Saccharomyces cerevisiae S288C: one gene and its partners. The gene in region 2 interacts genetically with the main gene of each other region. Each region holds a gene or a part of one and is shown on either strand. Other genes may lie near its edges.

Region 1 (4,049 bases), on a different chromosome or scaffold from region 2:
TTCTTTTTTTTCAAAAATTCGATGAACTGATTCCAAGCCTGAAATTAGTACACAAATTTCCAGAGGCTTATCCCACTGTTCAGGTTGATAGAGGTGCTATTAAATTCGTTCTCTCAGGTGCTAATATCATGTGCCCTGGCCTAACTTCTGCGGGTGCCGACTTACCACCTGCTCCTGGTTACGAGAAAGGTACGATTGTAGTCATCAATGCCGAAAATAAAGAGAATGCATTGGCTATTGGTGAATTGATGATGGGTACTGAAGAAATTAAATCAGTGAACAAAGGTCATTCCATAGAATTGATTCACCATTTGGGCGACCCCTTATGGAACTTCAGCGTTGAGTAACAAACGGAGCCGTCAACACTATATTACTATCCATCTGCTACATAATAAAATAAAGAAACTAAGAAAAAATTAGAATAACATCCGCTTACAATCTAAAAGGCTGTTTCCTGATTTTTAAATATGCAACTAGCCAAGATTAACTATATACTGTGATTACGATGGGCTGTTAACCTTCTGAATGCTCTTGTTATTTACTGGAGACGAAACATGAATAATATCTCCGTTCACAACATTAAAATCTGAAATGGGGCGAAAATTATACTTTATTTCGTTTATCATCCCTTCAGAATTTTCATGAAATAACTTAACATTCAGTATGTCAAAGTTTAGCTTTCGACATATTACACTCTTAACGTACCTTACTGTAAAACTGGGAAGGACCCAATAATCTAAATCACTACTCGGCTTCTTGCCAGCTCTTATCTTTATTTTTAAGACAAGAGATTGCCGTGTTTCTCTTTCATTGTTGAAACTTAGCTTACTCATATCGATTTCATACGACTTTATGAGGCTTGACCAACGCGGCAGATTGGTGTCATAGCTCAATTCGTTATTCATTACCTTGGAAACAAAAAACATCTCAGCCTCTCTTCTTGTTTTTACATCACATATTGATCCATTCAATACCATCACACGATCAAACCTAGCCAGTACTTCATAAAAAGTAGCCTGTTCTTCGACGTTAATATAATTTCCGTTGTAGTTGAATTCGTTGCCACTCAGATGGATATTTTTCAAAGAGGGAAATGTCTTATTCAAATCATCTATCAAACTTCTTTCCTTAAATTTGTTATCTGTTATATCCAAGGATTCAACAGAATAAATAGCAATACTTGGTGCTCTAGAAATTTGATTATTGGAGACATTTAAACCTTTCAATGTCAAATTTTTTGGAAACAATGGAAACGATATAAGATTATTTCCGCTAATATTCAGTTCCTCCAAAGTACACGGTATTTCATTCTCAAAATTTTGGATTCCCGCACTGGTCAAGTTGTTATAGCTTAAATCCAACATTTTCAGTGTCCTGAAGCTTTTGAGCAGCTTACCAATATGTTTATAACTTAAACCACAGGAAGACAGACGTAAAGTTTTGATGTGTGATAGGTCATATTCTTTCAAGTTGTCCCAACCGCTTAAAAGTTTATTTTGAGATATATTAAGGCTCTCCAAGTTCTTCAAAGGTTCTATGAACTCACATAAAGAGTTGATATTCGTGAATAGATTAAGCGATAAATCAAGGTCCTTGACGTTCACACAATTTTGTATTACACGGTTTAACTCATCTTGATTTTGAAACAATATAGCGACATCGGAATCTCGCAAAGCTATTTTTCTTAACTTCTTATAATTCTTATTTCTCGCATTTAGTTCATCGAATCCCAAACCCTCAACCCTTTTGTTACCTATAGATAGGTCATTAATGTTATTACTCGAGCCTCCATACTTTTCTGACAATGCTTCGTAAAACGTAATTCTGCGTACACCTGGAGATTTAATCTTAGACTCCTTCAAAAATGATCCTGAATTAGGAATTTGAACGTCAAAATAGTGTATGTCATCTATTGTTCCAGAATGTTTTCCCCGGCTGTGATCGTCCCATTCCACCCCATAAGCTTTTACCGAAGGCCACGGCTTAATAACACCTATGAATTTGATGGTGCAAAAATATCCACCAATCTTGAGTCTGTCCCCAATTTCATAAGTCATGCTATCTCTGAAATTCGTTTTGCATTTTATATTTTGTATATCTTATATATGAAACATAATAAAAGTTGGAACTTTTTAATGATTTCTTTGTCCAAAGAGCAAAAAGGCAGTAAAACTAAAAAAAATAAGATGTATAGTAATGAGTTTAAAAGCACACCTATAATTTACAGTAATGTTATTTGATGATAAAGAAAAAATAAGAAACACCCCTTACATAAAAATAGCCTTACATATGACTTATTTATTCCATCATTGTATCTTGATCTTTGCTAGCATCTATGGCCTTGTCAAGAGAGCTAAATAATCCATCCAAATCAAATTCTTTGGACCACTCGGATACAATGGTGGATTCATTTGCTGCAATTGGAGCTTGTTTAGTGCCAGTGTTTATAGTACTTAGATTTTGTTTATCTTGTTGAGATGCAGCTGCCGATGTATTTGGTAAAACCCAACCAAGAATTTTACCATCCCTCCAGTCATTAAGTACCGAAAGACCAGCACTGGCAAGATTTGGAATACCGCCTTTCCCTAATCTACCTCTTTTACGAGCGACGTGAATTAAGAAATGTTTTGTAAACGTATCTGCATCATTAGCAGGAATAGGAGGAATTTCATACAGCTTTTTAAAGCTCTCTGTCATTTCATCTGATTTAGCTAGTCTCTTTACCAACATTAAGACAGCTGGATACGGATCAACAATGTGTTTTGCCGGTAGAGCATTTAGAAGAGCTAATTCAGCTTCATGTTCAACTTTCGATCTTTTCTTATTTTCGCTTGGGAAACATATACCAGGAGAATCTAGAATCTTCAACTTGTTGTCGATTTTGATCTCTCTCAGAGAGGTAGTAACACCTGCTTCATTACCGACTGGGCAAGCCTTTGATTGACCTCCACGGCGCGCCAAAAGAGCGTTGATAACAGATGATTTACCAACATTTGGATAACCGATAACACCCACTACAATAGATCTCTTCAAATTGCTGTTATTAGAGTAAGTTTTCAGCGACTCTAGCAGTGCACTTGCAGTAGTGGTTTGGCTTAGCTTTCTGTTGAAAGAAGTTCCGTTGACTGCACCAGAAGAAGCTCTTAATGGGATTGTAGGAAAACTAGACTTTAAGTAATTTAACCATTGTTCCAATACATGTGGGGGAATTAAATCAACTTTGTTCAGTATTAAAATCAGCCTTTTACCCTGACTTTGTAAGACGGCTTCTTCCACCTTTCTTGATCTTGTACTCTCTGGATCTCTGGCATCCAAAACATATAGGATGACATCAGAAGCATCAATAACGGATTTGAAAATCTTGTCATAAGCTTTCCTAGATTTTTCAAGTTCTGACTCGCCTTCTACATCTTCACCGTAGAAATCAATGTTATAATCAATGACGTCCAATTCATCATCACGAACATCTGCATCATTAGAGGGTGTGCCCTCATATTCAGCAGCTGCTTGCTGAGCAGACTCAACCAAAGCTGCTAATCCATTTTCATCGTCTTCTATCATGTCTTCATCCATTGCATCAACGCCTTGTTCCTTGGCAGCTTTCCTAGCCTCCAATCGTTGTTGTTTGGCAAGCTCTCTTTCCTCTAAGTCCTTCATTTTTTTGGCTTCTATTTCTTCTAAGATCTTAGCCTTATAAGGAAAGTTAGAAGGAATACCAGGGTCTTTCTTAGACCTTGATCTCCAAGTAACGTCCTTCTTAGCCATCTTCTTTTCCTTTTTTCTATGGGCAGAAGCCTTCTTCTTAATACCTTCCTTCAACTTGGTAGATGTTCTTCTAGATTGGCGCTTTCTGACTCTCATTTTATGATATTATAGTCGTGACTGTATACCTATATGCTTGTTCTTGTGTGTACCAAAGTATTACTAGTACAATTCCCTCTTGATATAATTAGCTCATCTCATCGCCTCGCTCGAAAATTTTCAGCAGCTGTGAGAAAAAAATTTCAAAAAAAAAACAGAAGCGACGTTTAGAGTGACGTGAATCACTG
Region 2 (3,641 bases):
TGATTGGAGAAAACACCGTTCTCTTCCACAACAACACGCTCCTTTGGTACATTCAATTGTTCAACCAAGTGTTCGGCTGTTTTAGCATCTTGGCTAGCAATGAACAGAGAAGAAACTCCGTTGTTCAAGAAGGCAATGATTTCATCATCGCTGAATTTACCACTTGGCAAGGACAAAGCCACCAATGGAACTTCTTCCTCTTTGGAGAACTGGAGAATCTCTTCATTACTCAGGCTCGAGCCATCCAAAAGTACCTGACCAACAAGTGAAACGTATTCCTTCTTACTATTCCATGAGGCCAGATCATCAATTAACGGTAGAATCGGCAAAACCATTATTCAGAAAAAAAATTTTGTAAACTATTGTATTACTATTACACAGCGCAGTTGTGCTATGATATTTTTATGTATGTACAACACACATCGGAGGTGAATATAACGTTCCATATCTATTATATACACAGTATACTACTGTTCATAGTCATATCCTTTTCTTACCTTCTATATCGAATGACTGATAAAAAAACGTGAGTCACTGTGCATGGGTTTAGCAATTAATTAACTAATTTACCGGAGTCACTATTAGAGTCAGTTCGACTGCCTAGAAGAACTGCTGGTTGTCAGGATTGTGATGGGGGCATTCTGCTGTATTATGACCCATCGTATCGCAATGCTCACACCACTGTTGTCTTCCTGCCGTGGTATCGACTGGTGCAGGGGGGTCGAAAATTGGCAACGATTCCACGGCTGTTTGTGCTTGAGCCTGTTCCAACTGTTTGATTTTTTCATTAGCCTCTTCAAGTTTTTTCGTTAAGGATGCCACCTCTTCCGATGAGGAATCTTGTGGTTTTGTCAAAAATAGTTCCTTGCTCAAATTTTGGTATTCTTTACTGAGCGAATCGTTATGCATTTTCAATTGTTCGCGTTCTTTAGCCCACTTTGTCTTGTGTAACTCAAATTGGTCTTCTATGTTGCGTAATTGTTCCAGCTGTTTTTTCAGGAGTTCGACATCTTCGTTGGCACCAGTGGGTTGATTATGAGAAAGATTTCTCTCTTCGTTTTCTTTGATCTCTTCGTGTAGTTGGCTTACGACAGCAAGTAGCTGTTCATTCTCAGCGTCAAAAAACTGCTTTTGTTTGGCTTGCTGTCTGCGTTCGAGCTCCAATTGTTGCTTGAGATGGTCTATCTCTTTCTCTCTTTCTTGTATTGTGGCTTCATACCTATCAAAAGTCGGTTGCACTTCTTCGAGGACCATTCTTTGGTCATCGAGTAGCCTTTTGTAGTGTAGTTGTTTCCTTTGTAGCTTTTCGATGGTCAATTGGGCTTCTCGTAATTCAATTGTAACTTCGCTGCTATTGAGGTCATTCATGTGGCCATTGTCCGGTTTCCAATCGCTGGTGGTGTTGTGATTAGCCTTTCTGTCTGATGACAGGATAGAGTCGACCTCCATTCTGTCTTCTCTGTTATCGTAACCAAATTCTTGCTGTTGATGGTGATCCGATGCCTCCTGGTCCATCGACTGTTGATTACCGCTGTGCCGACTGGTGATCCGGAAACTTCTCATGGGTGTGGGGGATTTAGGATCATCCATGGGAGAGAACTGGTTAGTGAGCCTCACAATAGATCTGTTTTTGGGTATTGATAGCGGTTCCATTGTCGTTCTTCTCGAGGTTTGCGATATCGATGCCTTCTCGATCAATGATGCGACTTTTTGCAACTGAATAAATAGTCCACTTTGAGGATACTCCGTTTGAAAATACTTCTTCCCCATGAATGATCCATCGTTCTTACCAATGTTGGCAAGTAAGTCTACACCAGCAAACATTCCAGCTTTCGTGTCCACTGGACCCACGTATTTCAGTTGTCCGCGCCCCAAATTTGGGATTTGTATGAAACATCCTATCTTTCTTTGATATCTATCCATGGTATTTCAAACGCATACACAGCCAGCCACAGCTCAACGCCTTTTACCTTGTCCTTTGATGCCTGTCTCGTCCAAACGTTTTTGGTGTCTTGGCCAATTGCCCTTCTGAAAAATCTCACTGTCCGCAACTCATTAAAAGATACCCAAGCAAGCTACACGATAAAGAAAGGAGAAAGTTCATTAAAAGAACGTACATATAGCGATACAAACGTATAGCAAAGATCTGAAATGGATACGGATAAGTTAATCTCAGAGGCTGAGTCTCATTTTTCTCAAGGAAACCATGCAGAAGCTGTTGCGAAGTTGACATCCGCAGCTCAGTCGAACCCCAATGACGAGCAAATGTCAACTATTGAATCATTAATTCAAAAAATCGCAGGATACGTCATGGACAACCGTAGTGGTGGTAGTGACGCCTCGCAAGATCGTGCTGCTGGTGGTGGTTCATCTTTTATGAACACTTTAATGGCAGACTCTAAGGGTTCTTCCCAAACGCAACTAGGAAAACTAGCTTTGTTAGCCACAGTGATGACACACTCATCAAATAAAGGTTCTTCTAACAGAGGGTTTGACGTAGGGACTGTCATGTCAATGCTAAGTGGTTCTGGCGGCGGGAGCCAAAGTATGGGTGCTTCCGGCCTGGCTGCCTTGGCTTCTCAATTCTTTAAGTCAGGTAACAATTCCCAAGGTCAGGGACAAGGTCAAGGTCAAGGTCAAGGTCAAGGACAAGGTCAAGGTCAAGGTTCTTTTACTGCTTTGGCGTCTTTGGCTTCATCTTTCATGAATTCCAACAACAATAATCAGCAAGGTCAAAATCAAAGCTCCGGTGGTTCCTCCTTTGGAGCACTGGCTTCTATGGCAAGCTCTTTTATGCATTCCAATAATAATCAGAACTCCAACAATAGTCAACAGGGCTATAACCAATCCTATCAAAACGGTAACCAAAATAGTCAAGGTTACAATAATCAACAGTACCAAGGTGGCAACGGTGGTTACCAACAACAACAGGGACAATCTGGTGGTGCTTTTTCCTCATTGGCCTCCATGGCTCAATCTTACTTAGGTGGTGGACAAACTCAATCCAACCAACAGCAATACAATCAACAAGGCCAAAACAACCAGCAGCAATACCAGCAACAAGGCCAAAACTATCAGCATCAACAACAGGGTCAGCAGCAGCAACAAGGCCACTCCAGTTCATTCTCAGCTTTGGCTTCCATGGCAAGTTCCTACCTGGGCAATAACTCCAATTCAAATTCGAGTTATGGGGGCCAGCAACAGGCTAATGAGTATGGTAGACCGCAACAGAATGGTCAACAGCAATCCAATGAGTACGGAAGACCGCAATACGGCGGAAACCAGAACTCCAATGGACAGCACGAATCCTTCAATTTTTCTGGCAACTTTTCTCAACAGAACAATAACGGCAACCAGAACCGCTACTGAACGATGATTCAGTTCGCCTTCTATCCTTTGTTTACGTATTTGTTTATATATATAACTTTATTTTTTTTTATTAATTGGGCTGCAAGACAATTTTGTTGTCAGTGATGCCTCAATCCTTCTTTTGCTTCCATATTTACCATGTGGACCCTTTCAAAACAGAGTTGTATCTCTGCAGGATGCCCTTTTTGACGTATTGAATGGCATAATTGCACTGTCACTTTTCGCGCTGTCTCATTTTGGTGCGATGATGAAACAAACATGAAACGTCTGTA
Region 3 (4,092 bases), on a different chromosome or scaffold from region 2:
ACCAGGAGTTGAATGCCAGCAATTTGATACATGTGTAAATGTCAGAAACAAAAAGGGCGAGTTTTAATCCATTCCACCCAACTACACCTATTATGTAATTTAAAACAGTTTTGAACTTGTGGTTTCGAAATAATTCAATGTTTAAATCGGCGAAAGTCTTAGAATTAATGGAGTACTTCCAATCATGGTTAAACATTTTTGATTTTCTGTTCCTGCTAGTCAAATATTCATGAAATTACCAAAGTGTTTGCTAAACAAACCATAAAGATCTGTTTTAATAATCATCAAGGGCTCTTTTGTTTGAAATGTTAATGTGTCCCTCATGGTCTATTTTCATTTGAAACATCTATTCGAATTTTCTGCAACATTTCTTTTTCTGTCAGACGCGAAATGTCGGCGAAAAGTTGACACGATTCAAGGTTCTATCTAATTTTGGAATGTAAGAGAAATGAATGTACTCAAGATAACGGTAAAGAAACAGTTATAAGAAGGCTAAAGGGCTAATCTTTTGTCGAATTGATTACCATGTTCCTGATTTCATACATATAGGATTTTCTCTTGCTATTGACCGTACTTTCATCCATGATTGTTTCCTCATCAACACTGATAATGGTCTCATCTCGGGGTATAAACCATGAGGCTAACTTTTTACACCACCTGTTCTCCTCGTGGTAAAATTTTTCCAATGCTCTTGAACTCAAATGGAAAGTAGAGCTTATTTCTGGAGTTTCTGTTGTACCGTTAAGTGTCCTCATTGAATGGTATTTACGGAGTCTTGCTTGAGCAGCCGTACTTTGATAAACGCCATCATTGTCATTTGAAACAAATGGCGTATTAACTTGGCTTTTGGAACGCAAAAATGGTGAGGAGCTACGTTTTTTCATACTTTTGCCAACTGGTGGTAAGTTTATCTCAGGAATGCCTGCAAAAGGGTCTGCTTCTTCCTCTGAAACACTAACCCATCTTAAATTTTGTTCATCTAAAATCATGTTCCCGATGACCTTTTGATTTCTCGAAGTGGCTCTTGCATGCTGTAGATCAGAATATTTTTGCTTCTTAGAATCTGCATCTCGTTGTAGCTTGTTTTTTATCAATAAAGCTTTCCTGTTTGCCGTGTCTACATCACTAAATTTGCTTAAGACGTTTTCATTTCCTTCCCACTTCATAGTTTTCGGGTTATATATCATAGAACCTTTCTTCATTGGAGTATTATGATCAATTTGCTGTTTTATTGTTTTGATTTTAGCTGGACCATTGAGTTGTACATTTTGATTAGAACAGTGTCTTACTGATCGTTTTTCTTTAAAAGAGTCCAGTTCCTGCTGGGTATTCCAATCTCGTTGTCGCCTATGAAGACCTGGAGTTAATAATTCGTCATGCTTTACTATATCATATTGTGCAGGTGATATTTTTAATGGCAAAGATGAGGATGACTTCTTTAAGAAACGCGGATGGTCGGCACTTTCTTTATCGTTCGAAGAAATCGTTTCATCAATTGCTTCACCCTCTAATTCTTCAAATCCTGTCAGAAAGTCACCTTCATCATCTGAACTGAATTTCGCCAAAATTGTGTCCTGCGTATCGTTATCAATCTTGTAATTAAACTCTCGTTGATCTTCTCTTTCTCGTTCTTCGTCCTCTTCTTCTTCTCTGATAGCTGGATTAACTAAAGCTAAGTTAGGCATAGATTTCTTAAATCTTACAGAATTACCAGACCTTAAGTTTCTTGAAGTGACGCTATTTGATAGTTTTCTTTTTGGTTTCAATTCCATCATTGATCTAGGTTGCTTTAGCCTTGGTTTATCTTCCAAACTCAGTTTTCTATCAAACTCTTCTGCGAAAATGTCGTTTTTGAAAGGGCCAGTTCGACATCCATTTCTCAAATGAAAATTTGTTTTAATAGCATCGTCAAAATCATCCTTTTTATTTTGGAATTCCTGGAAGTCATTTAGAAATTCATCATCCTGGTCTACCTCCATGTCCTGATCATCGTCTGCTTGCTTATTAGACCAAAACGCGCTGGTACTATTGGAAAATACCGTGCCAGTGTCAGAAGTACCTACCGAGGATGGAGGCGGTATATAAGTTGATGTACTCAATGGTGGCACGTTTTCTTCCAAAGTTAATGTTTCATGGGATTGAAAGCGAGGTAGAGTTGTATTCAGTTCTTCAAAAGAGGTTTCTGGCTCATCTAAACCGTTTAACGTGAGAGGCCTAATTGACATAGCATACAAAACTTTCAACTGCTACAAAAGTTTTCGAACTTTTTTCTTTACGTCAAACTTCTCGTTTTTTTCCTTTTATCTGCGCTGAATACATAAGTTTACACTTTTTTTTTTACTATTATTGTTTGTTTATTATTCGCGAGATGCCATAAAATCCCTTCAATAGAAAATAAAGGCAACATTTGACGATCTGAGTATAATAGGAATAAAAACATTAGTCAATTTTCCGTTTTCTATCTAATACACGTTTTATATGTCTTTATTTTATTATATACTGTCACTCTGTCTCCCTATCAACGTAAGTCCAGGCCTCATTGTGGCCTTTTCAGTAACCAAATTGTCTCCGAAAACATCAATTACAGTTAAATTCGGATTTTGCTCACCCAACATTTGAATCACCGAGTCATCAACACAACGTACAAAACCAAGATCAAGATACGTCAGATTAGGACAGGCTAACGCCACAAATGCCTCCTTAGTTAGCTCTTTTAATGAATTGAGATTTAAGCTTCTCAGACTATCTCTTGCTCCGTTAAGCAATAGCTCTATAATTGCCATATCGCCCAATTGTAGACATCTTCTAAAGCTGCATTCAATCAAATTATTCAGTTCTACTTTGCTGAAAAAGTACGACAGTGAATCTGTAGTGATCTGATCTGATTCTTCCAAGCTCAATACCTCCAATGGACATTTCTCAGGAATGAATGCAGTCAGACCATTGATTATCATTGAATCTGTCAAGTCAATACAGCCATTCAAAACCAATTTACGTAACGTGCGCCCGATTTGACCTAGCAGATTTATGATGATCTCATCGTTAACATCCTCTTCATTGAATGGATATTCAATACAGAGACTGTGAAATTCGTCGTTGACTAGGTACTGCGGTAATAAAGCGTAATTTGATATAGAATCTAGTCTGGATAACCCTAAGGATACCAAGGTAGAACCGCAGTTGATCAATAAATTAGATAATGATTTGTCGGTGAAGCGGTGCGTATTAGAAATGTGGAACTCTTCTAATCTACCTTTCATTATTACAAAGAACTTCTCCCATGTGTCCTCGTTGATCAGAAATGGTCCATCTAAATTCAGTGATTTCAAGTTCGGAAGCTTTTCAGCAATGTAAAGCAATGATTCATGGTTCAACTGCCCACACATTTGTAGGGATAATTCGGTTAGGTGTGGCGAAAAAATGGCTAGCGTTTTGTAACCATCAAATGAAATTTTAGAACAATCGCTGAAAGTTAACCTTTTTAGATCTGTCTTCAAGAAAAGTTGCAGAGTATGATCATTCAGGGCCCTATTCTTCGATAGTGCTTTTGCCAAATTATTCAAATTAGCGGTTGATACGCCACCAAGGACATCTCTCAATTTGTTAAATACCAACTTTGATGATTCATCAGCCTCTTTTTGCCACTTGGATATATTTTCACTAATTTTCGTAATACAAAGACTTTGTAAGCTGGATACTTTGTTGACGCGTCTATCCAATAGGTCAGCTGCTCTTTTACGCTTTCTGCGACGATTTTGGATAATTTTTGCAGTATTTTGCCTTTTTTTAGTCAATGATTCCCGGTCATTAGCCGAACTTAAACTGACTGGCGTGTCAGAAATGTGGCTAGTTTCATATTCTTCTTCATCACTATCAGCAGGGACTAATTTCATCCTGGCATCGTAGGAAACCTGAGCTCTTTCTGTCTCGGTACCACTACCTGTTCCAATTTCATCAATTTCTTCATCTTCAACTACTCGAGATATCTCGGCAGTAAAGCTATCATCCTCCGCTTTACCTTTTTTTTCGTCTGTTGCATCTTCTTGCTTCTTCGACTGTCGCTGGTACCATTTTTGTTTGATATTTTCAGCA

Evidence for each region. Genes that interact genetically often act in the same process or in processes that back each other up.
Region 1: mutations in BIK1 (region 2) and PAC2 together harm fitness more than expected from each alone (negative genetic interaction), as found in Saccharomyces cerevisiae (3 studies listed by BioGRID, with this or other methods).
Region 3: mutations in BIK1 (region 2) and BFA1 together harm fitness more than expected from each alone (negative genetic interaction), as found in Saccharomyces cerevisiae (4 studies listed by BioGRID, with this or other methods).

The regions. Positions count from the first base shown.
Region 1 is NC_001137.3:162,535-166,583, reverse strand, and holds PAC2 (Pac2p), read right to left. Parts: upstream 2,058-4,049; coding exon 501-2,057; downstream 1-500. Other genes in the region: TMA20 (translation machinery-associated protein 20), read left to right, coding at 1-347; RNA-binding GTPase NUG1, read right to left, coding at 2,299-3,861. UniProt on the Saccharomyces cerevisiae protein: Required for viability in the absence of the kinesin-related CIN8 mitotic motor. Seems to be involved in the assembly of alpha-tubulin.
Region 2 is NC_001135.5:67,999-71,639, forward strand, and holds BIK1 (Bik1p), read right to left. Parts: upstream 1,924-3,641; coding exon 601-1,923; downstream 1-600. Other genes in the region: HIS4 (trifunctional histidinol dehydrogenase/phosphoribosyl-AMP cyclohydrolase/phosphoribosyl-ATP diphosphatase), read right to left, coding at 1-335; prion domain-containing protein RNQ1, read left to right, coding at 2,152-3,369. UniProt on the Saccharomyces cerevisiae protein: Required for nuclear fusion, chromosome disjunction, and nuclear segregation during mitosis. Probably required for the formation or stabilization of microtubules during mitosis and for spindle pole body fusion during conjugation.
Region 3 is NC_001142.9:532,160-536,251, reverse strand, and holds BFA1 (Bfa1p), read right to left. Parts: upstream 2,226-4,092; coding exon 501-2,225; downstream 1-500. Other genes in the region: KCH1 (Kch1p), read right to left, coding at 1-196; UV-damaged DNA-binding protein RAD7, read right to left, coding at 2,493-4,092. UniProt on the Saccharomyces cerevisiae protein: Part of a checkpoint which monitors spindle integrity and prevents premature exit from mitosis. This cell-cycle arrest depends upon inhibition of the G-protein TEM1 by the BFA1/BUB2 complex.